Linked DNA regions of Stegostoma tigrinum. The protein of the gene in region 1 interacts with the protein of each later gene in a pairwise test. Links are inferred from orthologs where the notes say so. Each region holds a gene or a part of one and is shown on either strand. Other genes may lie near its edges.

What was found.
Region 2: the proteins of atp10b (region 1) and cell cycle control protein 50A-like interact in a protein complementation assay, tested with the Homo sapiens proteins (2 studies listed by IntAct, with this or other methods). The link is inferred for Stegostoma tigrinum from reciprocal best matches to the Homo sapiens genes ATP10B and TMEM30A.

What each region holds. Positions count from the first base shown.
Region 1 is NC_081366.1:25,581,968-25,594,230, forward strand, and holds the start of atp10b (phospholipid-transporting ATPase VB), read left to right. Parts: upstream 1-5,759; 5' UTR 5,760-5,892; intron 5,893-12,263. UniProt on the Homo sapiens protein: Catalytic component of a P4-ATPase flippase complex, which catalyzes the hydrolysis of ATP coupled to the transport of glucosylceramide (GlcCer) from the outer to the inner leaflet of lysosome membranes.
Region 2 is NC_081362.1:27,358,925-27,371,730, reverse strand, and holds the start of cell cycle control protein 50A-like, read left to right. Parts: upstream 1-6,852; 5' UTR 6,853-7,016; coding exon 7,017-7,232; intron 7,233-12,806. UniProt on the Homo sapiens protein: Accessory component of a P4-ATPase flippase complex which catalyzes the hydrolysis of ATP coupled to the transport of aminophospholipids from the outer to the inner leaflet of various membranes and ensures the maintenance of asymmetric distribution of phospholipids.

The DNA.
Region 1 (12,263 bases):
ACCTCCCCACCTATACTCTCCTCTCCGCCTATCTTCTTTTCTCTCCATCTTCGGTCCGCCTCCCCCCTCTCCCTATTTATTCCAGTTCCCTCTCCCCATCCCCCTCTCTGATGAAGGGTCTAGGCCCGAAACGTCAGCTTTTGTGCTCCTGAGATGCTGCTGGGCCTGCTGTGTTCATCCAGCCTCACATTTTATTATCTTCACACTTTATTAACTTTGTTTTTGTTCCTGATTTACAGCATCCGCAGTTCTTTTTGTTTTTTAATAATATGTCTGTTGTTCTGCCCTATGTTTACATAGTTTCTTCTTTGAGTCAGCATGAAAATATCCGCTTCAGCTCAGTTACAATACAGTGATTGTCCCTGTTGACCAAATCATTAAGCATCCCTGGAGACTGAATTAATTTTTTTAAACCCAAGTTTGAAGAAGCATAGACCCTGCTGTGATCATCCCATTTCCCAAATCAGATTTTTTTTTAAAATGTTATCTATCTCTGTCTTAAATACAGCCAAGGACTTGGCTGTTTTAGCCTCCTGCTTTCCACAGACTCACCACCTTCTGGCTGGAGAAATTCCTCCCCATCTCAGTGACAAAATGTTATTTTGAAGCTGTGTCCTTAGCTCCTAGTCTCTTCCATCATTGGAAACATCTTCTCCATGTTCATTTTATTCAGACCTCTCAGTATTTTGTAAATTTCAATGAAATCCATCACATCCCTTTAAACATCATTGAGTACAGGCCCAGAGACCTCAACTGCGTCCAATATGATTAGCCCTTCATCCCTGGGATCATTCTTATGCATGCCCTCTGGATCTAATCCAATGCCAGCACATCCTTCCTTAGATACAGAGCCCAAAACTGCTCAAATTATTCCAAATGTGGTCTGACCAGAGGCTTATATGACCACAACAGTACCTCTAGTATTCTAGCCCTCTTGAAATGAATGCTACTATTGCATTTGCCTTTCTGACTGCCAACTTGCCCTGCATTTTAACCTTAAGAAAATCCTGAACTAGAAATCCTAAGTCCCTTTGACTTCAGATTTCTGAAGTCTTTCCCCATGTGGAACATATTTTTCTTTATTTATCCTACCTAAGTATACAAGCTCATACCTTCCCACAACGTATTCACCTGCCACTTCATTGCCCACACTCCGAGCCAGTCCAAGTTCTTCTGCAGCCTCCCTGCTTCTTCAATGCTATGTGTCCTTTCATGTATCCTGTTGTCATCTGCAAACTTAGCAACAATGTCCTCAGTTTCTTTGTCTAGATTGTTAATGTATAGCATGAATAGTTGTGGTCTCAACACTGACTCCTGTGGAACTCCACCAGTCATTGGCTGCCATCCTTAAGAAGACCCTATACCCTTACTGTTTGCATCTGTCAATTGGCCAATCCGTTTTCCATGCCAGGATGTTAGAACAGAATAGAATAGCCTTTATTGTCACATATACTCGAATGAGTACAGTGAAAAGTGAAAAGTTGCTGCTTTGGTTCCATCTTAGGTACAGGGTACCTAGGGATTTAATGCGTTTGTTACAGAATTGAAAGAGTAAAATAAAAGGTCCAGAATACGGAATGTACAGTTTTAAAAAGTACTTGAACTACTCAAAGTTTAGAATAAGGATAAAGAGTATATTTTTAAAATGCTCAAATTAAAGGCACCTAACACCATGGGCCTTTATTGAACAGCTTTCTTATCTAAGACCTCTGGAAATCCAAATAACTCCTCAAAAAATTCTTACAGATCTATCAGGCATGATCTCCCCTTGACAAAACTGTGCTGATTCAGCCCATTTTATCATGCATTTTCAAGTATTCTGCAATCTCATCCTTAATAACAAGCTCTTAAAATCTTACCAATGGCTGAAATCAGGCTAACGAGCTTGTAAGTTTCCATATTCTGCCTCCCTAAGACACTGGCAATATTAGTTAAGGATACAAATCATTAAAAGGACGCAACCAAAAGTCAATAAAATTTGTATGAACCACACAATACTGAAGCAATTGAATAAGTTGGCTGTTTAATTGTGTTTTTTTTCTGGAAACAGATCAAGAGAAAAATTTCCCTTTCATAAAGATTTATACCTGTAGTTCTTTAAAGGCTAAACCAGGTTGTTGAAAACACGATGGCAGTATGAACGTTGACAGAGCAGACAACATTGACAACATCTTTTTCCAAAGTATTTTACAGCTTGAACCAAGTGCCTGGCAACCAGGTTTCATAATAGCATTAGTTTATTGGTGGTGTCATATATTTTATGCCTTGGATCTCTGCAAAGATGACACTAGCTTTCTATATAGGTAACAGATTTTATTGATAGTGATTTAAAACATTAATACCTTGCTTTTAGCTTTCTGTTCTTTTCCGCCTTGTTTCCTTATCCTTGAGTTTGCACTCCAGGCTTACTCAATGTCAACATCAATAGTAAACATTTGTATAAACAAACTCAAAACAGTTGCTCATTATGTATTTTCTTCCTTTGTAAGACTAAAATTCTACATTGAACTATGCAAAACATCAAGCGTATGTACATTTAGTCATTTATCAGGAATAGATTTTCAGTCCTCAATTTGTTGAGCTAACAACAACTTGTCGGGGTAACCAGAGAAGGGTCCATTAGGATGAGCTTCTTTGATGAAGCGTGACAGGACAAGAAGGTTTAGGTCAGCTAAACTAAAGAGCTTCAGCCGTGCCTCAGTGAGAGTATGATGCTCACAGTACTTTGCAAACAACATCTTCACTGCTTAACAAATTATTTCCAACTTTTCAGAAATCAGGATACCCAGTGTATACTTCACTCACCTTCAGCTGGGCCTCCCTGTTGTCAGCCCTCATCACAGTGTGGGAACAGTTTATGTAGATTAGCTGGCCTCACCATCAAGGAAAAGGGCAACAGTAACACCAACCATACATCCAGCAGGCTTTCGAAATGGAGCTGTAGAGATGCCTGCAGAGAGAGCAATGATCACAGATGTGATGTGTGTTCTAAGGAGAGCTGTGCATGACAATGCTGGGAAAGTCATATGCTGGAGATTAGTACCTGAAAATGTTGGGCCATTTATCTTCCCTGCTCTGCTGAGGTGCTGAAGCCTCTTGGTGCACTGACTTCTGGCTGGAGGGACACACTCCTGCTGCTGACTTCCTAGGCCTCATCAATACAATTCTGCTTGGTTTAAGAAGCTGTACTCTTCTTTCCACTCTTACTCTACTCTTCTCCTTGGTAAGTATTACCTCACTTTTATCACATTTCCAGCAAGACCTACAGGTGTGTGTGTGTGTGTGTGTGTGTGTGTGTGTGTGTGTGTGTGAGAGAGAGGGAGAGAGAAGGAATTTTGCAATTTGAAAAACTCAACTGCAGTTAAGCCTTTTTGACGTATGCCAGGAACCTTTTGATTAGGAATTCTTCTTTCAAAAAGTTCAGCTTTTTATCCTGATGGTTTCTAATTGGTTTAGAAATAAAGCAGAATGCTAGTATCATGGCTCAGTTAAAAGAGCTTCAGCGAAGTCCACCACAAATCCAAATGGACTATGGTTCTTAGATAACAAAGTGTGAAGCTGGATGAACACAGCAGGCCAAGCAGCATCTTAGGAGCACAAAAGCTGACGTTTCGGGCCTAGATCCTTCATCAGAGAAGGGGATGGAGAGAGGATTCTGAAATAAATAGGGAGAGAGGGGGAGGTGGACAGAAGATGGATAGAGGAGAGGATAGGTGGAGAGGAGAGTATAGGTGGGGAGGTAGGGAGGGGATAGGTCAGTCCAGGGAGGAGGAACAGGTCAAGGAGGCGGATGAGGTTAGTAGGCAGGAAATGGAGTTGTAGCTTGAGTTGCGTGGAAGGGATAGGTGAGAGGAAGAACAGGTTAGGGAGGCGGGGACGGGCTGAGCTGGTTTTGCGATGCAGCGGGGGAAGGGGAGATTTTGAAACCGGTGAAGTCCACATTGATACCATTGGGCTGCAGGGTTCCCAAGCGGAATATGAGATGCTGTTCCTACAACCTTCGGCTGGCATCATTATGGCACTGCAGGAGGCCCAGGATGGACATGTCGTCTGAGGATTGGGAGGGAGAGTTGAAATGGTTCGCGACTGGGAGGTGCAGTTGTTTATTGTGAACCGAGCTGAGGTGTTCTGCAAAGCGGTCCCAAAGCCTCTGCTTGGTTTCCCCAATGTAGAGGAAGCCACAACGGGTACAGCGGATGCAGTATACCACATTGGCAGATGTGCAGGTGAACATCTGCTTGATATGGAAAGTCATCTGGGGGCCTGGGATGGGGATGAGGGAGGAGGTGTGGGGGCAAGTGTAGCACTTCCTGCGGTTGCAGGGGAAGGTGCTGGGTGTGGTGGGGTTGGAGGGGAGTGTGGACCGGACAAGGGAGTCGCGGAGAGAGTGGTCTCTCCAGAAGGCAGACAAGGGTGGGGATGGAAAAATGTCTCGGGTGGTGGGGTCGGATTGTAGATGGCGGAACTGTCGGAGGATGATTCGTTGTATCCGGAGGTTGGTGGGATGGTGTGTGAGAATGAGGGGGATCCTCTTGGGGCGGTTGTGGCAGGGGCGGGGTGTGAGGGATGTGTTGTGGGAAATGCAGGAGACATGGTTGAGGGCGTTCTCGACCACTGCGGGGGGGACGTTGTGGTCCTTGAAGAACGTGGACATCTGGGATGTGCGGGAGTGGAATGCCTCATCCTGGGAGCAGATGCGGCAGAGGTGAAGGAATTGGGAATAGGGGATGGAATTTTTGCAGAAGGTTGGTTGGGAGGAAGTGTATTCTAGGTAGCTGTGGGAGTCTGTGGGCTTGAAATGGACATCAGTTTCTAGCTGGTTACCTGAGTTGGAGACAGAGAGGTCCAGAAAGGTGAGGGATGTGTTGGAGATGGCCCAGGTGAACTTGAGGTTGGGGTGGAAGGTGTTGGTGAAGTGGATGAACTGTTCGAGCTCCTCTTGGGAGCAAGAGGCGGCACCGATACAGTCATCAATGTAACGGAGGAAGAGGTAGGGTTTGGGCCAGTGTAGGTGCAGAAGAGGGACTGTTCCACGTAACCTACAAAGAGACAGGCATAGCTTAGGCCCATGCAGCCCAACTTGTCCCCTCCCCCCACTGCATCCCAAAACCAGCCCAGCTCATCCCCACCTCCCTAGCCTGTTCTTCCTCTCACCTATCCCCTCCTCCCTCCTCAAGTCGCAACTCCATTTCCTACCTACTAACCTCATCCCGCCTCCCTGACCTGTCCGTCCTCCCTGGACTGACCAATCCCCTCACTACCTCCCCACCTATACTCTCCTCTCCACCTATCTTCTCCTCTATCCATCTTCAGTCCGCTTCCCCCTCTCTCCCTATTTATCTCAGAACCCTCTCCCCATCCCCCACTCTGATGAAGGATCTAGGCCCGAAATGTCAGCTTTTGTGCTCCTGAGATGCTGCTTGGCCTGCTGTGTTCATCCAGCTTCACACTTTATTATCTTGGATTCTCCAGCATCTGCAGTTCCCAATGTCTCTGACCACTATGGATCCTGCAGTTTCAGTCAGCACCATTCACAACACCGGATAAATGCAGTGAATACTAGTTTCTGAGCAAATTAAGTCCAAAAACATCAAAACTGCCTCAGTATGCTAAATTTTAAATGCCATGGATCCTTCTGTGTTGCATTTAAAAATGGAATGAAATTAAATACTTGCATTATTTATTCTGTAATTGATTAACTACCCTTGGTCAATGACTCATCAAAGTTGTTCTGTTTGTCTAAACTGGTTTGTCTGCCTTCTTTATTTACTACCGAGGTTTCCTTGTTTTAAAATGACATTTTACAGTGGAGTGGATAATGTAAGTGTGCAGGATTTATTGAAGACATCCTACTTATTGAAGAAGGTGGAACTCAATGCCTAACTGTAATAAGTGAGTAGACATTCTTACTTCTGGTGACTTCCTTGAGGAGGATAGGCAGTCATTTTGTAAGCAAATTAAAGAGAAAGGAAATATTAGCTCCGTAATCAGCAAAGCCGTTTGTAGCATTTGTAAAATAATGATACCTTTATCAAAACTTAAATGAAGTCTGCAAGTGAATGCTTTTGTATAATAAAATATCCTTGAAAATTATTTGGAGCACAAACGGAAAATCTAAAGGGAGGGACTGTTCCAAGGGATGGAATTCTCAATATCTGTTCTCATGAAAAATATGTTGACTTGGGTTCACACAACTTTTTTTTCAAACTTTGTAAAATCTGTTTAATTATTGTTACCCTGAATTCCTATCAATTCTTGTGAGTTGTGTTCCCAGTGAGCTGAGTTTGATTCATTGTGGGACTCTGCAACGTTTTATGAGATTACATCCAACGTGCACATATGTTGGAAATAAAGAGGAACAATACAATCTGCTGGGGAAAGAATGTGAATATTGCCTCACTTAAAGCCAGAACAGGTTCCATATTACTTATGGAGTTAATCAGCCACATTTAATATCATTGCAGCAGTCATATTAAGGGTTTAAGTTTTCTGGACTCATTGGATAGTGAGCATTTTCTCATATGTCCAACTTTGTCAGTTGGAAGGTATTTTTCTCTGGATTTGCTTCTCTTTCTAAATCCCGACATTATATATGTATTTGACAGCACGGCTCAACAAAATATATCTTCTATGACGTTGCATGTATTAGTATCTGTGACATTTTTGCTACTCTTGCTCCCTTCCTTCATTACAATTGTTTATATACCTGTGTATTCACCTTTGTCTCATTTACTACTATTATTTAATTATTATTTGGGTAGAGGAGTTGGGCAGTGAACCAGTTCTCATCACTCCCAGTTTTCTCATCTTTAATGTGCATGTCCATATTAACATTTTCTCAGTTTGTTCCATTGTCCGCTTTGCTTTATCCTTTGTTTTGTTTGGTTTACCCAGTGAGCTTTTCACTTTTATTTATTCAAGTGATGTGGGCATCATTGCCAAGGTCAACATTTATTGGCTTTCAGAAGGTGAGCCATTTTCTTGAACTGGTAAATTTTATGGAGTGAATATAATCTCACAGCGCCATTAGGTAGAGATGCCTGGTCTTCATATATCTTTCACCTACTTCCCATTATCTTTGTGTGCCTAATGCCCTGCTGTCTCTATCCTACAGTTCATTTCTTTCCAGTAAAAGTAGTGGCCTCCTACCAGTCCATCCACTCCATGTCCTGCTAAACAGAATAGTTCATTCATTGGCAGAGAAGAGATAAGAATAGCTTCAGAACAGAATCTGACTAAAGGCTTCAAGAACCCACATCAAAACCTGAATACGACAGTCATAGAGTCATAGAGTTATACAGCACAGAAACAGACTCTTCAGTCCAACTTGTCAATGCTGACTAAATATCCTAAATAAATCTAGTCCCATTTGACAGCACCTGGCCCATATCCCTCTAAACCCTCTGATGAATGGTCTAGGCCCGAAACGTCAGCTTTTGTGCTCCTGAGATGCTGCTGGGTTTGCTGTGTTCATCCAGCCTCACATTTTATTATCCCTCTAAACCCTTCCCATTTATATCTCCACCCAGATGCCTGTTAAATGTTACAATTGTATCGGACTCCACCACCTCCTCTGGCAGTTCATTCCATTTACGTACCACCCTCTGCTTGAAAAAGTCGTCCCTTACGTCCCTTTTAAATCTTACCCCTCTCGTCTTAAACCTATGCCCACTAATTTTGGACTTCCCCACCCCAGGGAAAAGACCTTGTCTATTAACCCTGTAATTGCCCCTTATGATTTTATAAGCCTCTATGAGGTCAACCCTCAGCCTCCAAAACCACAGGGAAAATAGCCTCAATCTATTCAGCCTCTCCCTATAGCACAAACCCTCCAATCCTGGCAACATCCTTGTAAATCTTTTCTGAACCCTTTCAAGTTTTACAACATCTTTCCTGTAGCAGAGCGACCAGATTGAACATAAATTCCAAAAGTGGCCTAAACAATGTCTTGCACAGCCGCAACATGACATCCCAACTCCTGTCCTCAATGCACTGACCAATAACGGCAAGCATACCAATACCTTCTTCACTATCTTATCTACCTGCGACTCCACTTTCAAGGAACAATGAATTTGCACTCCAAGTTCTCTTTATTCAGCAACATACTCTAGGACCTTACCATTAAGTGTATATGTCCTGCCCTGGTTTCCCTTTACAAAATGCAGTACCTTAAATTTACCTAAATTGAAATTATCTAAATTAGGGGTGGCATAGTGACACAGTGGTTAGCACTGCTGCCTCACGGAGCCAGGGACCCAGGTTCAATGTCTGTGTGGAGTTTGCACATTATCTCTGTGTCTGTGTGACTTTCCTCTGGGAGCTCCAGTTTCTTCCCGCATTCCAAAGATGTGCAGGTTAGGTAAATTGTCCATGCCAAATTGCCTATAGTGTCCGGGGATGTGTAGATTAGGTTGGTTACAGGAGAATGGGTCTGTGTGGGATGATCTGAGGGTCAGCGTGGACTTATTGGGCCAAAGAGCCTGTTTCCACACTGTAGGGATTCTTAAAAAAAAATTCTAAACTCCATCTGTCGCTCCTCAACCCATTGGCCCATTTGATCAAGATCCCATAGTACTGCAAGGTAACCTTTGCTGTCTACTATGCCTCCAATTTTGTTGTCATCTGCGAACTTACGAACCGTACCTCCTTTGCTCACATCCAAATTATTTATATTAATGACAAAAAGGAGCAGACCTAGCACTGATTCTTGTGGCACACTGCTGATCACAAGCCTCCAGTCCGAAAAGCAGCCCTCCACCTCTGCTTTCTATGTGCGAGCCAGTTCTGTATCCAAATAACTAATTCTCCCTCGAGCCTCGCTAACCAGTCTACAACAAGGAACCTTGCCAAATGCCTTGCTGAAGTTCATATAGATCATGTTCACTGCTTTGTCCTCATCAATCCTCTTTATTACTGACAGGTCAAAATAAAAGCTATTGAGTAGTTGAAAATAGGTCATATAGAAAGTATGTGTTGGATGCAAGCTGTCAATTGCTGCCAGGAGCTCCTTTCTCTGTGCTGGGCATTTCTCTCCTGAGTGTTCCCCTTCACCTATGAATTGGACGGCCACTAATAAACTGGCTGGTTATCTACTTCCATGAACATGCTGACATTTTAGCCTATTTTCCTCCTTGGAGTGTCCAAGTGAGAAAAGCACTGCTTTAAGGTAACTAATAGCTTAACAAGGCAGTAGCGGCCTTTTCAAGGAACTAGTCATCCAGAGGCCCAGGCTATTGTTCTGAGATATAATTTTGAGTCAGAAGCACTGAGGTTGGCAGTGGCATAGGATGTACTCTGTTCATCACAAAGAGAGCTTTCGTAGAATCAGTACTGACCGAGAGGGCTAAACGGCTTAGTCCTAAGGACATAAGTGCGAAACTGGCATCGGTGATGAGAGAGCTCACAAGAGGGAAAAGCCCACTTGATTTCATCCTCAACAATGTGTCTGTTCTGAATGCATCTGTTTGTGACAGTATTGGTCAGAGAGACCACCATACAACCCTTATGAAGGGGAAGTTCTGTCTTCACTTCAAAGACAACCTCCGTAGCTTTGTGAGGCTCTATGACTATGTTCAATAGAATAGATTTCAAATAGACTTAACATTCAAACCTGTGCATTCATTAGGCATGGGGGCCATCAGCAGTCACAGAACTGAACTCCAAAACAGCCTTAGATCACATGGCTTGGCATATCACCCACCCTACCATTATTAACTAAGGCAGGAGATCAACCCTGGTTCCATGAAAGAAATAGGAGGGCATGCCAGGATGATTATTATTAATGTTTTGGGACCATATTCTCAAACTGTGCACCAGATTTGGTATGTAAGCTTTGGTTTCAAGCCAGAATTCATCCATTGAATCCCAGGATATTTTAGATCCTGGTAGGTTAAAATTCTGAATTGCTAGATTGGAGGCAGGTGGATTTTATCTGAACAATAAAAGCAGCCGGTTCCAACTTACTGACTACTGAGCCTGTTTGACAGGACACAGGGAGCCAGACTGCTTCTCAGAGAAGGTTTGGCATTTTAATAAATACTTCAGTGAGGCTTCAATTCTCAGGTGTAACACACTGGGAAGATTTGAATGTGGTTGACTGTTAACAGCCTTGCGGAACCAACATTACTGTGAAGGCAGTTTCAGGGCAAAGACCAGTACCTTCAGTGTGGCACTTTTGTGGACCTGAGGAGCAGGAGGAGCAGGGGATTTTTCTGCCAGTCCCTTGAACTCCTTCCCCTACCTGAAATGTGCCAAATCCTTTACCTGCAAGGAAAGCCAGACTTCAAGAATTTGCATGCTTAACTGGACTAGCAACCACTCTGTTTCCAGTGAGTCAGCAAGTAAATATTCACTCCACCCAGTGTATCTCCTTTCTTTGTTAATTATTACTTGGTTTGTGTATGTCTTCACTTCAATCTCTTTTTTAAAAAAGCATTTATTTTCCATTGTTTGCAAAAATTTTTTTACCAATGCTAATGCAGTCACCTTCATTAAAAGGTTCCTAAAGTGTGACAAAGTATAACTTCTGACTCTTGTCTAATTTAAAAACTGTGTAACTGCATTGGAAGTGAAGATCAGAAATATCAATTCCATTGATTCCACTATCTCTTTTAAGTGTGATTGTTCAGTGTTAGAATTTTACCATGATTTCCAAATAGGGTAATGGTTGTGTGGCGTTCACATACAGGTGATGCTATCTCAGCACGTGCTTTAAAAATAGAGCTGAGCTAATATCCGGTCAAACCTGAAATGTAAGGTTACACAAATAAGTATAGGCAATATGAGATGAAAATTCTATGCAACATGATAAGTCTGATCCTGCTGCGATCAAGATAATGTTAACATTGAAATGCAGCCAGTGAAGGTTGAATAAATCTTTGCCATGGTTGACATTCTATAGATTTGATTTGGACATCTTTTGAGGAATAAGGAGACACTTTAGAGCTTCATAGATTTTTAACTATGAAGGAGCCTGTAACATTGCAAATAACGTACTCTACAGGAAGGAGACAAGTGTGTATTTTTTGCTGTACATTTTACTTTACATTAAAATCCCTCTTTGTTTTGTGTCCATCATTAATTTTTATTCAGTCTAACATAGATTTCTTAGTATTGTTAGGTGGTCACTTTATCACTTATCTCTAATCAAAATTCGCTCCCTTGTGACTCTCTATCAGCTCAAACACTTCTGACTATGCACCCCGAGATAGTTCCCTCTCATATATTGCGAAAGCCTCTCTCCTCCTACATGTAGCAATTGAACTTTGTTATTGACATTTCAAATAAAATATTTAAAGATTTGTTTTCCCAACCAGAAGAAACAAGAACTAGTTTGAACTGCTGAAATGTGATTGCGAATTGGATTACATAATGGTGAAGCAGCTTGTTCATTGTATGAACTTACACATGATGAATAAATGAAAATCTTGAACTGTGCTCTGAGGAAAAATTGTAAAGTCATGATTGTAAATAATTCCAGACTCTAGTTGCATTCTAATGCCTTTAGATTGAATTAGATTTTATTCAGTTGCCTGCATCAAAATGTACCCTGAGCAACAATAAAAATAAATTGATGAATGCTCATGATGGCTGTGTGCATTCACATGTGGAATAATATACTTTTGTGAATTCATCAGGGGGCCTCATTGGCAGTTCCAGCTGAGTGTACTTGACGAAAATAAAAGGCAAGCAGCCATGAAAAGAGACATACAGTTGAATTTTTTTGCTGTACTGGCAACTGTGTTACCTTTGTCCATGCTAACTTTAATATTTCTTTAAACTGGGAACAGCCATCAGTATGTGTGATTAAATCACCGTGTAATAGGTCATTTTGATTCCTGTATGTTTTTTTGTGTATGTGTGTGTGTGTGTCTGTGTGTGTTTCTGTGTGTCTGTGTGTGTGTGTGTGTATGTGTCAGAGTCAGCTCTATGCAACATTTTGGTTGTAATGAATTCTTTTAATCCAACTGTGAATGACGCTTGTTTCTGGATAAAAACCTGAAAGTTGCATTTAGCCATTGTTTGGTTAATCTCCAGTATCTGTTTCTAGTAGCCATTTTTTGAGTGTGAGTTCAAAAAACATCAGAAGTCAGATGACTTCCAGGTTGTGGTCCAGCAGGTTTATTTGAAATTACAAGCTTTCAAAGCATTGCCCATTTGTCAGGTAAAGTAAGAGAGATACACACAGGCTCAGAATTTGTAGGTAGAGAGATCAATGGGCAGAGATATTGAAAGATCATATAAATGGTGTGAGTGGAGGCTGA
Region 2 (12,806 bases), on another chromosome or scaffold:
TCCCTGCCACAATTCCAAAGTAACTCACTTCGAATTCTCCATATAATGTCTGATGGGTTTGCAATCTTCAATATGGTTGACCACATGCACTATGTCTCTCTGTTGTCACCCAGGTGCATGGGACTAAAGTTGCATGTTCCATTACCTCACTTACAATACCTTCTCTTCCAATTCTTGTACAGTATCACCTAAGGATCTTTCTTTGGCCTCTCCTTTTATCATGCAAGTCTACTGCTCCTTAACAACATCATCTGAAATGTAAGAACAACACATATTTTGTTTGTCATTGCGAACGGGAAAATGGTATTGTTAATTATTAAAAAATCACCCAAGATTTGAAGCAAAAGTGGAATTCTGTGATCACTTAATGGCTACACAAAAACATAACTTTTTAAGCTGTATTTGATACTTTCATTAGGTACGTTGGTGCCAAGTATCTGAGGGGAAAATAAAAAGTAACTGCCAGCAACAGTTTGTGGATAGTTTAAGTACAGGTTGTCACAGAACTTACAAAAGAGGTAAAGCAGACCTGTAATGTCTGCCAGCAAGCAAAATTGCTTTGTCTTTTTCTTTAACTGGAAAAGAAGCATATAAAAAAACTGCTAACTCAGACAAAAACACAGGTCCAACTGAACCGGCTACTGAATTTAGATTCACCACAGTTGGTAACAATGTGACATAATTATCAAAGACCAAAAACAAATTGAGAAAGTCCACCTCATTTCTCCTTCGTAGTTTGGTCTTTGGTGCACAGACTTGTCATTTTTTTGCATATACTTTCTACCCACTATATTTCTGCTTGAGCTGTTTGTCACATCTGCCCTGTTCACCCAATTAGTGAATGAATATGTGTTTGGATTCATAGGGGCATAAAGAGGACATCTTTTTTATTCCTTTCATTTTTGGACTGTTGACCAAAACTAAAAAGGAAAAGATAGCAAGAACTGCAGATGCTGGAGTCAGAGACAACACAATGTGGAGCTGGAGAAACACAGCAGGTCAGGCAGCATCAGAGCATCAGGAAAATTGACGTTTCAGGTCAGGACCCTTCTTCAGAAAATGGAGAAGGATCTTGACCTGAAACATGAACTTTCCTGCTGCTCTGATGCTGCTTGACCTGCTATGTTCCTCCAGCTCCACACTGTGTTGTCTCTAAAAACGAAAATACTGTTTTAATCAAGAGATTGCACAAAAAAGTGACTGCAGTTTTAGAAATCATATCTACTGGAACACTTTGTGAGTTACATACGTGTTGCATTTTTTTCCTGGAACAGAAGAAGGAGACATGTAGCTGATAAGTTCTGAACTAAAGGAAAGATGATTGATGGTAATGTTCTGACTGGATCCTGACCAGGTGACCATGGCTTGTATGAAACCAAGTACAGCAGAGAATCACCTGGTCTGCAAAGAGAAAGCATGAAAAAACATCTCCCTCTCTCATGTGAAGGTACAAACAAATCTCCAGAAACAGCTCAGATAATAGTGTGGAACTGGATGAACACAGCAGGCCAAGCAGCATCTCAGGAGCACAAAAGCTGACGTTTTGGGCCTAGACCTTTCATCAGAGAGCGGGGGGGGGGGGGGGGGGGGGAAGAGGTTCTGGAATAAATAGGGAGAGGGGGGAGGTGGACCGAAGATGGAGAGAAAAGAAAATAGGTGGAGAGGAGAGTAAGAGATTGCAAGAGAGATGCAATGGGAGAGAGATTCCCTGAGGTTGGTCCGGAGGAAGGAGGGTAACTTCTTCTGGTTAGGCATCCCTGGAAGAGGCTTCACAGTGAGGTTAAAATTGTATCAGAGATAGTGGGAACTGCAGATGCTGGAGAATCCAAGATAACAAAGTGTGGAGCTGGATGAACACAGCAGGCCAAGCAGCATCTCAGGAGCACAAAAGAGCTCCACACTTTGTTATCTTGGATTCTCCAGCATCTGCAGTTCCCATTATCTCGCTCCAGAAACAGCTCATTATCTTCAACTCAGCTTTCTCTGCAAATCCTTTGTAGAAGAATAAAATGAATTTAGTGACAGTGAAAGGATGAGGATCACTAACTGATGAGCATTTATTGAGAATCCCTAGGTGCTCGTGAGAAGGTGGTGGTGAGTTGTGTTCTTGAACTACTGCAGTTCATGTGCTGGAGCCACAATGCCCTTGGGGAGGGAATTCCAGGATTTGACCCAGTGACAATGAAAGTCAGTATGTTTCTAAGTCAGCATAGTGAGTGGCTTGGAGGGGAACTTGCAGGAAGTGGTGTTCCCTATCTGCTTCCCTTATCCTTCTCAATGGAAGTAGTCACAAGTTTGGAAGGTACAGTCTTTGATGAATTTCTTCAGCGCATCTTGTAGATAGTACACATTGCTGCTACTGAGTATCAGTGATGCTTGTGATTGCTTGTGGATGCGGTGCATATTGATTGGGCTGCTTTGTCCGATGGTATCAAGCTTCTTGAGTGTTAAAGCTGCACCCAATCCAAGCAAGTCGGCAGTATCTCTTGTGCCTTATACACAGTGAACAGGCTTTGGGGAGTCTGCGGGTGAGTTGTTTGCAACAGTATTCTAGCTTCTGACCTGCCCTTGTAGTCATTGTATTTATATGGCAGCAAGTCCAGTTGAGTTTCTGGTGAATCGTAACCCCAGGATGCTGATAGTGGAGAATTCAGTGATGGTGGCACCATTAAATATCAAGGGGTGGTGGTTAGATTGTCTTTTACTGGAGATGGTCATTGGCCAACATTTGTATGGCATGAATATTACCTGCCACTTGTCAGCCCAAGTCTGATTAATGTTACTGATCTTATTGCATTTGAAAATGGACTGCTTTGATGTTTTAGGAGTCGTAAATAGTGCTGAACATTGTGCAGTCATCCGCAAACATCCTCTCACGTCTGACCTTATGATGGTGGGATGATCATTGATGAAGCAGCTGAATATGGTTTGGCCCTGGGCACTACCCTGAAGAATTCCTGCAGAGATGTCCTAAAGCTGAGATGACTGACTGCCACAGCCAACAACTACTCATCTTCCTGTGTGCCAGATACGACTCCAATCAGCAGCGAGTTTTGACCCAATTCTCATTTAGTCCAGTTTGCTAGGGTCCTTGATGCCACACCTGGTTGAACGTGGCCTTGATTTCAAGGGCAATCACTCTCAACTCACCACTGAAGTTCAGTTCTTATGACCATGTTTAAGCCAAAGCTGTAATGAGATAAGAGCTGAGTTGCCCTAGTGGAGATCAACTGGATGTCAGTGAATTTGTTATTGCTGAGCAGGTGCTGCTTTGATACCCCTGCTGATGACACCTTCCATCACTTTGCTGATGCTCAAGAGTACACTGATGGGGCAGAAACTGATCAGGTTGGATTTCTACTGCTTTTTGTAACAGGACATCCACATTGTCAGGTAAATGTCAGGATTTTAGCTCTACTGGAAGAACTTGGCTAGGGGAGTGGTAAATTCTAAAGCATTAGTCTTCAGTGCTATTGTCAGAATATTGTCAGGGCCCATAGTATTTGCACTATCCAGTGTCACTAATTGTTTCTTGATATCACGTGGAGTGAATCGAATTGGCTGAAGAGTTGGCATCTGGAGGGTTGTAGGTATTTGGAACTCATTGCTGAAAGGGTGGTAGAAGTTCACATCATTTGAGAAGTATATAGATGAACGTTTGAAATGACATTGGTTACAAGGATACAGGCCAAGTGCAGGAAAATAGAAATAAAATAGATGGATATGTGATGATGACAAAGTGTAGGCCCAAAACATCAGCTTTTGTGCTCCTGAGATGCTGCTTGGCCTGCTGTGTTCAACCAGCTTCACACTTTGTTATCTTGGATTCTCCAGCATCTGCAGTTCCCATTATCTCTGGATATGTGACAGTTGGGGTAGACAGAATGGGTTGAAGGACCCCTTAAAACTGTAAAAATTCGACAATTCTCTGAAAATTGGGAACTTAATCAAGGTGCTAATAGTTCCTTATGTGTGTGGAACCACAACCTGACGCCCCTCTACACCACCCTCATAGCAGAATGTTTGCTTTAATTGTTGAGCAAATTGATCACATCAGTCAAGGTAGAGTCAAATTAATGCACTGTACACTGAGAATCTTCCAGGTTATCCTTAAACTCACACAGAAAACTAATATTGGGGTGACTAGGGTTTGATCAATTAATGGAAGCGTCGAATCACAAATTGGTATGGCACAGATAAAGGCCATTTAGTCCAACATGCCTACACCATTTATATCCAAGTGTTTTCATTTTCTCTCACAACTTGCTTGCTTCATTTGCGTATCACTTTAAATCTATGCTTTCTTGGCATTCCTTCTTTTACGAGCCAGAATAGCTCTGGATTGAACCTCGTCTGTCATCTATCCATCTACTCCACCATCTTGTCAATATGTTTTTGGAGTTTCATAAAGTCCTCTTCGCAGTTTACAATTCTTCCTTCCACTGATCATTACTCTCTGTTTCCTATCAGTCAGCCATTTTTGTATCCATGTTACTATTGTCACCTTTATAACCATGACCTATAATTTTCCTCACAAGTCTATTGAGTGACACTGTATCAAATGCCTTTTGAAAATCCATGTATACTATTAAATCATAGTCCCATAGGACCAGAGGGCTTCTCTCTCATGAGAAAGACATCTGGTGGGGAGGTCAACCATAGGTTCACAGTGCCTTAGGGAAACGGGTCAAGAAGGCAGGACTTTTATGGTCAACAACAAGAAGTACAAAAACAGAAGCTGCTGGAAAAGTTCAGCAGGTCTGGCAGCATCTATGAAGAGAAATCAGAGTTAATGTTTCGGGTCCGGTGACCCTTCCTCAGAACTGATGGTAGCGAGGAAATGTCTGCATATAGGCAGAGGATAGAGTGGAGGGAGGTTGTGAGAAATAAATGAAATGTGGGGAAAGAGCCCAACAAGAGAGAAAAACAGTTGGACACATAAAGGAGTTGATAATGATCTGGCTAGGAGGTTGAAAAGCTGTTGATGGGAACCGTTGGTGACTAACAGTAGGTAGCCTTCATTCCCGACCCCATCCCTGTCCCTTTTTTTCTGTATATAAACTGACATTTTTCCAGCCACCATCTGTTCTGAGGAAGGATCACCAGAACCAAAACATTAACTCTGTTTTCTCCTTCACAGATGCTGCCAGACCTGCTGAGCTTTTCCAGCAACTTTGTTTTTGTATCAGATTTACAGCATCCGCAGTTCTTTTGGTTTTCAACAGGAGGTAGTGTGTCCTGGCAGACTATTTGATAACAAGGCCTGGTGTGTGGAGTAGGGGGCTAGGACATGGGAGAGTTCAGGACCTAAAATAATTGAACTCAGTACTGGGTCGCGGGGGGTAGCTGTCTGTCGAACTTTGAACATCATAGAGATAACTGTGAGTCTGGGTGGATTCAAGGCTCTGGGGAGAGTCTGAGCAGCAGGCAGTCACTGAGGAATATGGACCAAATAAAAATCAACAGAACTGCAAATGCTGTAAATCAGGAACAAAAACAAAGTTGCTAGAAAATTTCAGCAGGTCTGGCAGCGTCTGCGAAGGAGAAAATAGAGTTAATGACCCTGCGAAGGGTCCCCAGACCCAAAACGTTAACTCTGTTTTCTCCTTCACAAATGCTGCCAGGCCTGCTGAGCTTTTAAAGCAACTTTGCTTTTGTCACTGAGGAATGTGATATAGCTGACCTCATCTTGGTGACTTCAGCTAGTGAGGGAATTGAACACGCACTGTTGGCATCAGTTTGTGTTGTGTACCAACCATCCAGCCTGAGCTAACCACATCAATCTTTTCTGTTACCTCTTCAAAAGACTCCAGCAAGTTCACTAAACATGATTTTCCTTTAGGGGAGTGCAAGGTGCCATAAGCTTGAGACTCACTAAATCCAATGTGGATGTTCAGAAAAATAACCCAGACAGCAGTTGAAATATAGAAATTGGTCAAACAGGGAGTAGATGAAATTTTCGGTGCTTTGACTGTGAAGCTAGTTAAAGAGAAGAAATGCGAAGCATATCAGCCAATCAACACTATTCCCATAAAAGTGTAAGCCATAAGGAATTGTTTGGACGTATCACCTTGGAATCCTGACTAACGGTAAGCAGGACATTGGGGGTTAGGTGGATTCAGCTTGTCTGGTCCAGTCTCCTTTCGCTGTGTGAATTGCAGAAACAGAAGTTGCTGGAAAAGGTCAGCAATCTGTGAAAAGAGTTCCGAGGAAGGGTCGCCAGACCGGAAACGTTAACTATGATACCTCTTCACAGATGCTGCCAGATCCGCATTTCCAGCAACTTCTGTTTTTGTTCCCGATTTACAGCATCCGCAGTTCTTTCGGTAAACTGTAGAGAGTCTGACCTTGTGGCCGCTCTGACTGAGGGGTGTGAGCCGAAATGACAACTATTTTTTCCCCCGAAGACGGTGACGGTGAGTAACATACGAGCAAGAAACCGGATGGAGGTTTGGAGAAGGCTTGTCTGGAGCAAAGCACCACTTAGACGGAATATCCTGCTTCAGCGCTTTGCATTCTCCATAATTTATCTGTAATATAATTAAGGGAGCTGTTTACTTTGTTTGATTCCACGCTCGGACCTCTTCACTCCTCTACCTGCCATCTTCAGGTATTTTCTCTATTGTATCTTCCAGCCTGGAATATCAGTAAAGTCCTAGTGTTAGTCAAGCCCCTAAGACTGTATTTACAAACAATTCATCATGTCTTAGACTTCCATCAGCTGAATGTTGATTGGTCTGTAACAAATTGCTGTCGAAACGCTTTACTGGTCGTTATGGAAACAGCAGCTCGGAATGTTCAAGAGCGTCATGACGTCCTTGAACGTGATCATGCGATGACGTTAATTATAGACGTCATCGCGTAGCAGCGTACTCGGGTTTTGGTTTCCGGGATTAGTTCCTTCTTTCTCCTCAGGGGTTAGGTCCGAGCGGTAAGTGGTACATTGGGGTTTGGTGTGTCAATCGTAGAGACCGTGATCTTGTGGCCGCTCTGACTGGGGGGGGTCTGAGCCGAAAATGGCAACTAATTATTCCCCCAAAGATGATGATGGTGGTGAGCAGCACAAGAGCAGGAAACCGGACAACACCGCATTTAAGCAGCAGCGCCTCCCCGCCTGGCAGCCTATTCTCACCGCCGGCACTGTCTTACCCGCTTTCTTTATAATAGGCCTCATTTTCATCCCCATCGGCATCGGCCTGTTCGTCACCTCCAACAACATCAAAGAATTCGAGGTAAGTCCCGTGGCGGAAGCACTGTAAGCTTTGTGAGGTTGAGGACAAATGAGGAACAGCGTCAACCAAGGCATACAATTGTCAACCTAATTCTTCCTTAATATTATTGGTCTACGTACGGCACACCCTAGACACTGATACCATTAGGTTTTTAACTTTTCGGTCTATGCCAATATATAATAGTGTGGTTATCAGTAGTAAAGTTGCAAATCTGCAAAGAAGCATTCCTTTTGGATGTATTCTTTTGGAGGAATGGTGTTTAGTTCGATCAGACCTAATGTATACCAAACTAATCTGTGAAAACACATTATTGAAACATCTGTAATGATATCGTTTCTCGTTATGATCGGGAACACTTGTAGGCAGTGTTGTGGTGACACCCTGCTTTTAAATGCGAGCACTCTAAGCATGGAACCAACGTAGATTGCAGATCCTAAATCGTTGGGTATTTTTGGGTTTATTTGGAAGATGCTTTCTGAACGGAATGGCCTGCTTTGCATTACCTAGCAATGTTTTTAATTAAAGTACCTCCAGATTTTGCAAACTACATTTATTTTAATTATTTTTCCTTTTATCAATTGATGCTCCTTAACATTGGCTTTATTTTTTGCAAACCTTTGGCAAGATCAGCAACACAGACAGATAAAGGCAAGGTGTACTACAGAGACAACAGTCAGAATGTGGAGTAACAGAAGTACCTTGAAACTTTGGGAAATGACTACCTCATTTGTGCCTAATTCCAAATTTCTTTGTTTTTTTGCTAAATTATCATGAAAGAGATTAAGGTCATATCCTCGGTTACTGTAATCTATAAATCTTAAATGTTTGAATGTTTAAACTAACAAGAGACCTACTAAAATGTTTCAATCATATTAGTACTGAAATTGTACCTCTTTACAGGAAGTATAGTTATTCTTTCACCAAATATATCAACAGAGTCAAAATGCCAATGTTTGGAATTAAACTACTTAAAACTGTCCATGCGTAAACATGGTACAGAAGTACATATTTTTGTTAGGGCTCTGACTGTTTTTTATTTGGTTAAAACTATAGAATGTGAAAGTCTTGTTGGAAACTGTTTTCTCCCAGGTTGAAAAGACAGGTTTAGATCCGGTGAGCTCAATAGTATTTGAATGTACAGTCTCTTTGCTATTATAATTTTTTTTGTCTGTCATTGGAAAAATAACAACATGTTATCTACGAACCTTGTTCCATGATTATCGCTGTTTAGGATTCCTGTTTTTGAAGCGGTATTCTAACTACTCCATTCTTCAATTTATTTGTGTGGTGGCATTCCCTTTCAGGTTAGATTGTATAGACGTTCAAGATATGAATGTTAGCTTCATCTGTTGAAACAACGTTCATGTCAAATGATTAAAATAATACATCTTTGCAAAAACATCAAATCTGGTGAATTTTCTTGATTTAAGATCAAAAATAACTTTTGGATAATAAACCATTAAATAATTGTCCCTGCTATTTGTCACACTTAACAAATCCACCATTTCATTGTTTCCTTCCATGCCATTCCCTATGCTACTCTCTAATCCCTCCTGTGCTATTTCCAAGCATTTGTTGCCAACCATATCCATTCCACCAATCTCATCCATTCCTCACAAAACAATTTTTTCAGCCAGAATAACTTCATTACTGGGCTCTGCTTTCCTTCTGCCGTTTTTGAGCTCCCCACCTTTGGTGTCACCAACTGTGGGTAGCCACATGCCTGTCATGAGGTCTTGTTCTCTGCTTTGCTCATGTGCCTTTGTGTGTGCCAGTTACTGCCCAGCAAATAGACTTACCAAGAAGTGCACACTTCAGCTGCTGAATCATAATCATGTACCTTGACAAAAACTGAGTTTATCTGCAGATTTTGATATAAAAAAAATCAACTTTACATTAGGCTAAGAATTTACCAAGTATCAGTGTATGTCTCATTACGTAAATTCATTTTGCAGATAAACGTTGTGTGTTCAGTGCCAAACTGACTATCAGAGTGCCATCAATTCTTGAAACTCTGTCCTATAACTTTAATCGTGAAGTGTATGGTTTCATGATGCTATGAGAATGAACTCATTTCTGTCAGGCCATTATGGAAAAATAGTTTCCACCTAGCAGCTCCTTTTTCTCCCCCCTCCTATGGAGAAGAAATTTTAGTTACTTGGGCTGTAATTGACCAAGGACCAAATATGACACTGGCAAATTCCAGCAAATGTGTTGCCTTGTTATCATAAACTTTTTGCCCCAGTTACAATATGGTGCATGAAAAAGCAAGGGAATTTAAAAAATAAACATTGAGGTAAAATTATTGGATTTCAGCCTGATGCAATTTCTTTTCAGGTTCAATGATTCTGAATAACTGTAAAATAATCCCATTAAGATGTGTGGCTTGCAAGCCAGGGCCTGTCTTTTTAGCCCTTGAAAGCTGAATGCAATATCTCTCAAGAGTACTGGTCAGGAATCTTCAGTTTAAATTGCCCTTGTTACCTCTGAATAGTATCTTATATCACATTTTATTTTATTTTGAGGCATCGTTGAAAAATAACAAAGTCTGGTAATTATTATTAAAACTGGCGAGAATGAGTTTGATAGCAAGCCTTTCATCTGTCTGAAGGACAAGAGAAATTCCTGTCCTCTTGTTCACTTTTAGCTCTGGTGTTCAATATTAAAATCAGAGCAGTGGTGGTGATAAATCTCCTTGAATTTCAGACATAAATGCTTTAATTTAACATGCACAATGTTTTCATTTTCCTTCCTTTGCCCCATTTATCTTGTTTCAATTAGTCTTTAAAAAAGGGTATTTATTTCTATTTCTGCTCTAATCATGTATTTTGACAGGAGGAACACCTTTTTTGAAGTAATTGTGAAAAGCTAGTGGAAAACAGCTGTTATATTTGTAAAGAAAAGACAAAGAAATAAAAATTTCTTTTATCTTCATCCTGGACCTGTTTGTCTTTAGTTTTTGCCATTTATGTGGATTTTCAGTGTAAGATCAAAGCTTCCCATTGGGTGTTGGTAAATGTTGCTAAAGACTTCCGTCCTGTTTAATTTGTCTTGAAAACACCTCTTTTAATGGGATTTGAAACAAAGGAAAAAGCGATGCCAGATGAAAAAGAGCAGATGTTTTTGGGCTATGATTTCATCATGGAAGTGACAGAACTCCAAGCAATATGATGAATGTTAATCTTTGACTTATTTCTGATATCAAACAGGAAGAGTCTTGGGACCAGACAAGTAACTTTTTTGTTTGCTACCAACATATTTTTCTTTGGATGAGTAAGTTTCACTTCATATTATGGGTTAATAGAAACGATGTTGGGTATGAGCGCACCATATTCCCACTGCCTAGATGATTGGTTATTCACAAATGGTTGTTTCCAAAATTGAACCTAAAACCACACTGTTCTCAAATTTAAGTTGTGATTTGATCTGATTATCACTTTAAAAATAGACAGTAACCACAATCCTAAAACCACTAATGATGACTATATGGTAGAAAATGTGACAGTTAGGGAGGTGGAATACAGGCCTACTGAATAGACTATTTGGAGAAATGACATCAGATACTATTTAGAAGAGTTGATGTGTTTGTATAGAGTGGGCAGGGATTACAAAACCATAATTGAAGGGCTTAGGTGATTCTCAGAGCAGTTTATACTTGGTTGCCTTTAGAGTAACAACCAAGACTAGAGTTAATCACTAGGAAATGCAGAGAAGCTAAAATATCTGATGACTAAATCCAACTGGGTGTTTGTGCTGAATGCTCTAAATGATGAAATGTTCTGTTTATTTAAAGTGTGCCTCAGTTCAGTTGTGTGCCATTCTTCTTAGTGTTGTGTGTAAACGCTAAAGCATGTTAGTTCTGTTAGCTGTTGTAACATATTCTTATGGAAAGTATTACTTTTTCTCCAACTTTTAATGACAAATGTTTAGATGTTAAAGATAAAAGTGTGTAGCTGGATGAACACAGCAGGCTAAGCAGCATCTCAGGAGCACAAAAGCTGACGTTTCGGGCCTAGACCCTTCATCCATGAAGGGTCTAGGCCCGAAACGTCAGCTTTTGTGCTCCTGAGATGCTGCTTGGCCTGCTGTGTTCGTCCAGCTACACACTTTGTTATCTTGGATTCTCCAGCATCTGCAATTCCCATTTATCTCTAGGCTAGTTTAGGGATTGGTTTCAGAAAATTATTTGCTGCTACTCTTCAAATCAGAATGGAAAGTTAAGAATTTCCATATGAGCTTATCGTATGGAATAGCACCTGTTCAGATGCACATGACAGTACACCTACACTTCACTGTCACTATAAAGAAAAAACAAACTTCATGTATTTCAGTTATTTTACTTGTAACATTGAAAGGCTATGCATTCTTGGAAGCAACCTCACTGCTTTCAATTAAGTAATCACATTCTTGCAAACTTCTGCATACCTAGTCACTAACATTCATCTTTTTGTTTTTTAAAAAAGACACTTTTGTTCAGAAGTATATTTATTCTGTACTCTAATTATATTTGCTCCCCTTAGCATTATTATGATAAAAGTAAAATTGCCATTGTCCTATTAGCTGACTTGCTTGCTTTTAAATGCATATTGGACACTTTGTTGAGCACCTGCATATGGTGGACGTTTCGTATCTGTCAGGAAGAATTTTATTAGTCTCATCCCCTCTTTTTCCTGCATTATCTAAATTTTATTAAATAGCAATTTCGTACTGTTTGCCAACAGTTGGCTTGATATGCATTTTGGAAATATTCAGGAAATTGATTAAATATTGGAGCACCATTGTATAATCTACATACAAGCAAAACAAACAGGTTAATTGTTCTTTCTTCTTACTGCTGTTTGTGCAATGATGCTGTCATAACTGCTTCTGTCTTTGCAGAAGTAACAATGCTTTTGTGAATTGTTTTGAGAAATCTGACGTAAGGTAATTCATTAAATCAGCGTTTTCTGTGCTGTGTAGAGCTCAAATTTGTATTTGCTTTATTTGCATAGATTTTGTACTTGTCATACCCTTGTGAAAGGTAAATAAATCTCTAATTGTAGAGCATTTTACAAAGGTGCACCTTGAAATAATTGGATGGCAAGGGTTTATGTCAGAATATTTTTTTGAGTGTTTTTAACTTTTCTAAATGCTGGAGATTCGGAGATTTGAATTTGTGAATAGTAATTGTGACCCTTGGAAATGGGCATACATCGATGTCTCTGTCTCTGAGTAAACTGACCTACACATACTGTGATACTCTGCAGATCATTATATTAATGGCCAGAAATTGCACTGTTGATCAGTTTTTCACCTTGCTATACAATGAACGCTAAGGCCAATTTGAGACTGCCTTGTGGATGAGCAAATTTTCCACAGATGGATTTTGTTTAGTATTTTCTACTGTTTTGTTAGGCAAACTCCATAAATAGTTAGAAATTCTAATGTTTCAAAATCAGAACTTATTTTGCTTAGTCAGTTGGTATTGCTGGCCCTTAAACTTTCATAATTCCAAGATAATTACAATCTTTGAACACTAGGTTAAAATATTCTAATGGAAGAACCCAACAAACATTACATCAAGTCCTGAACCAA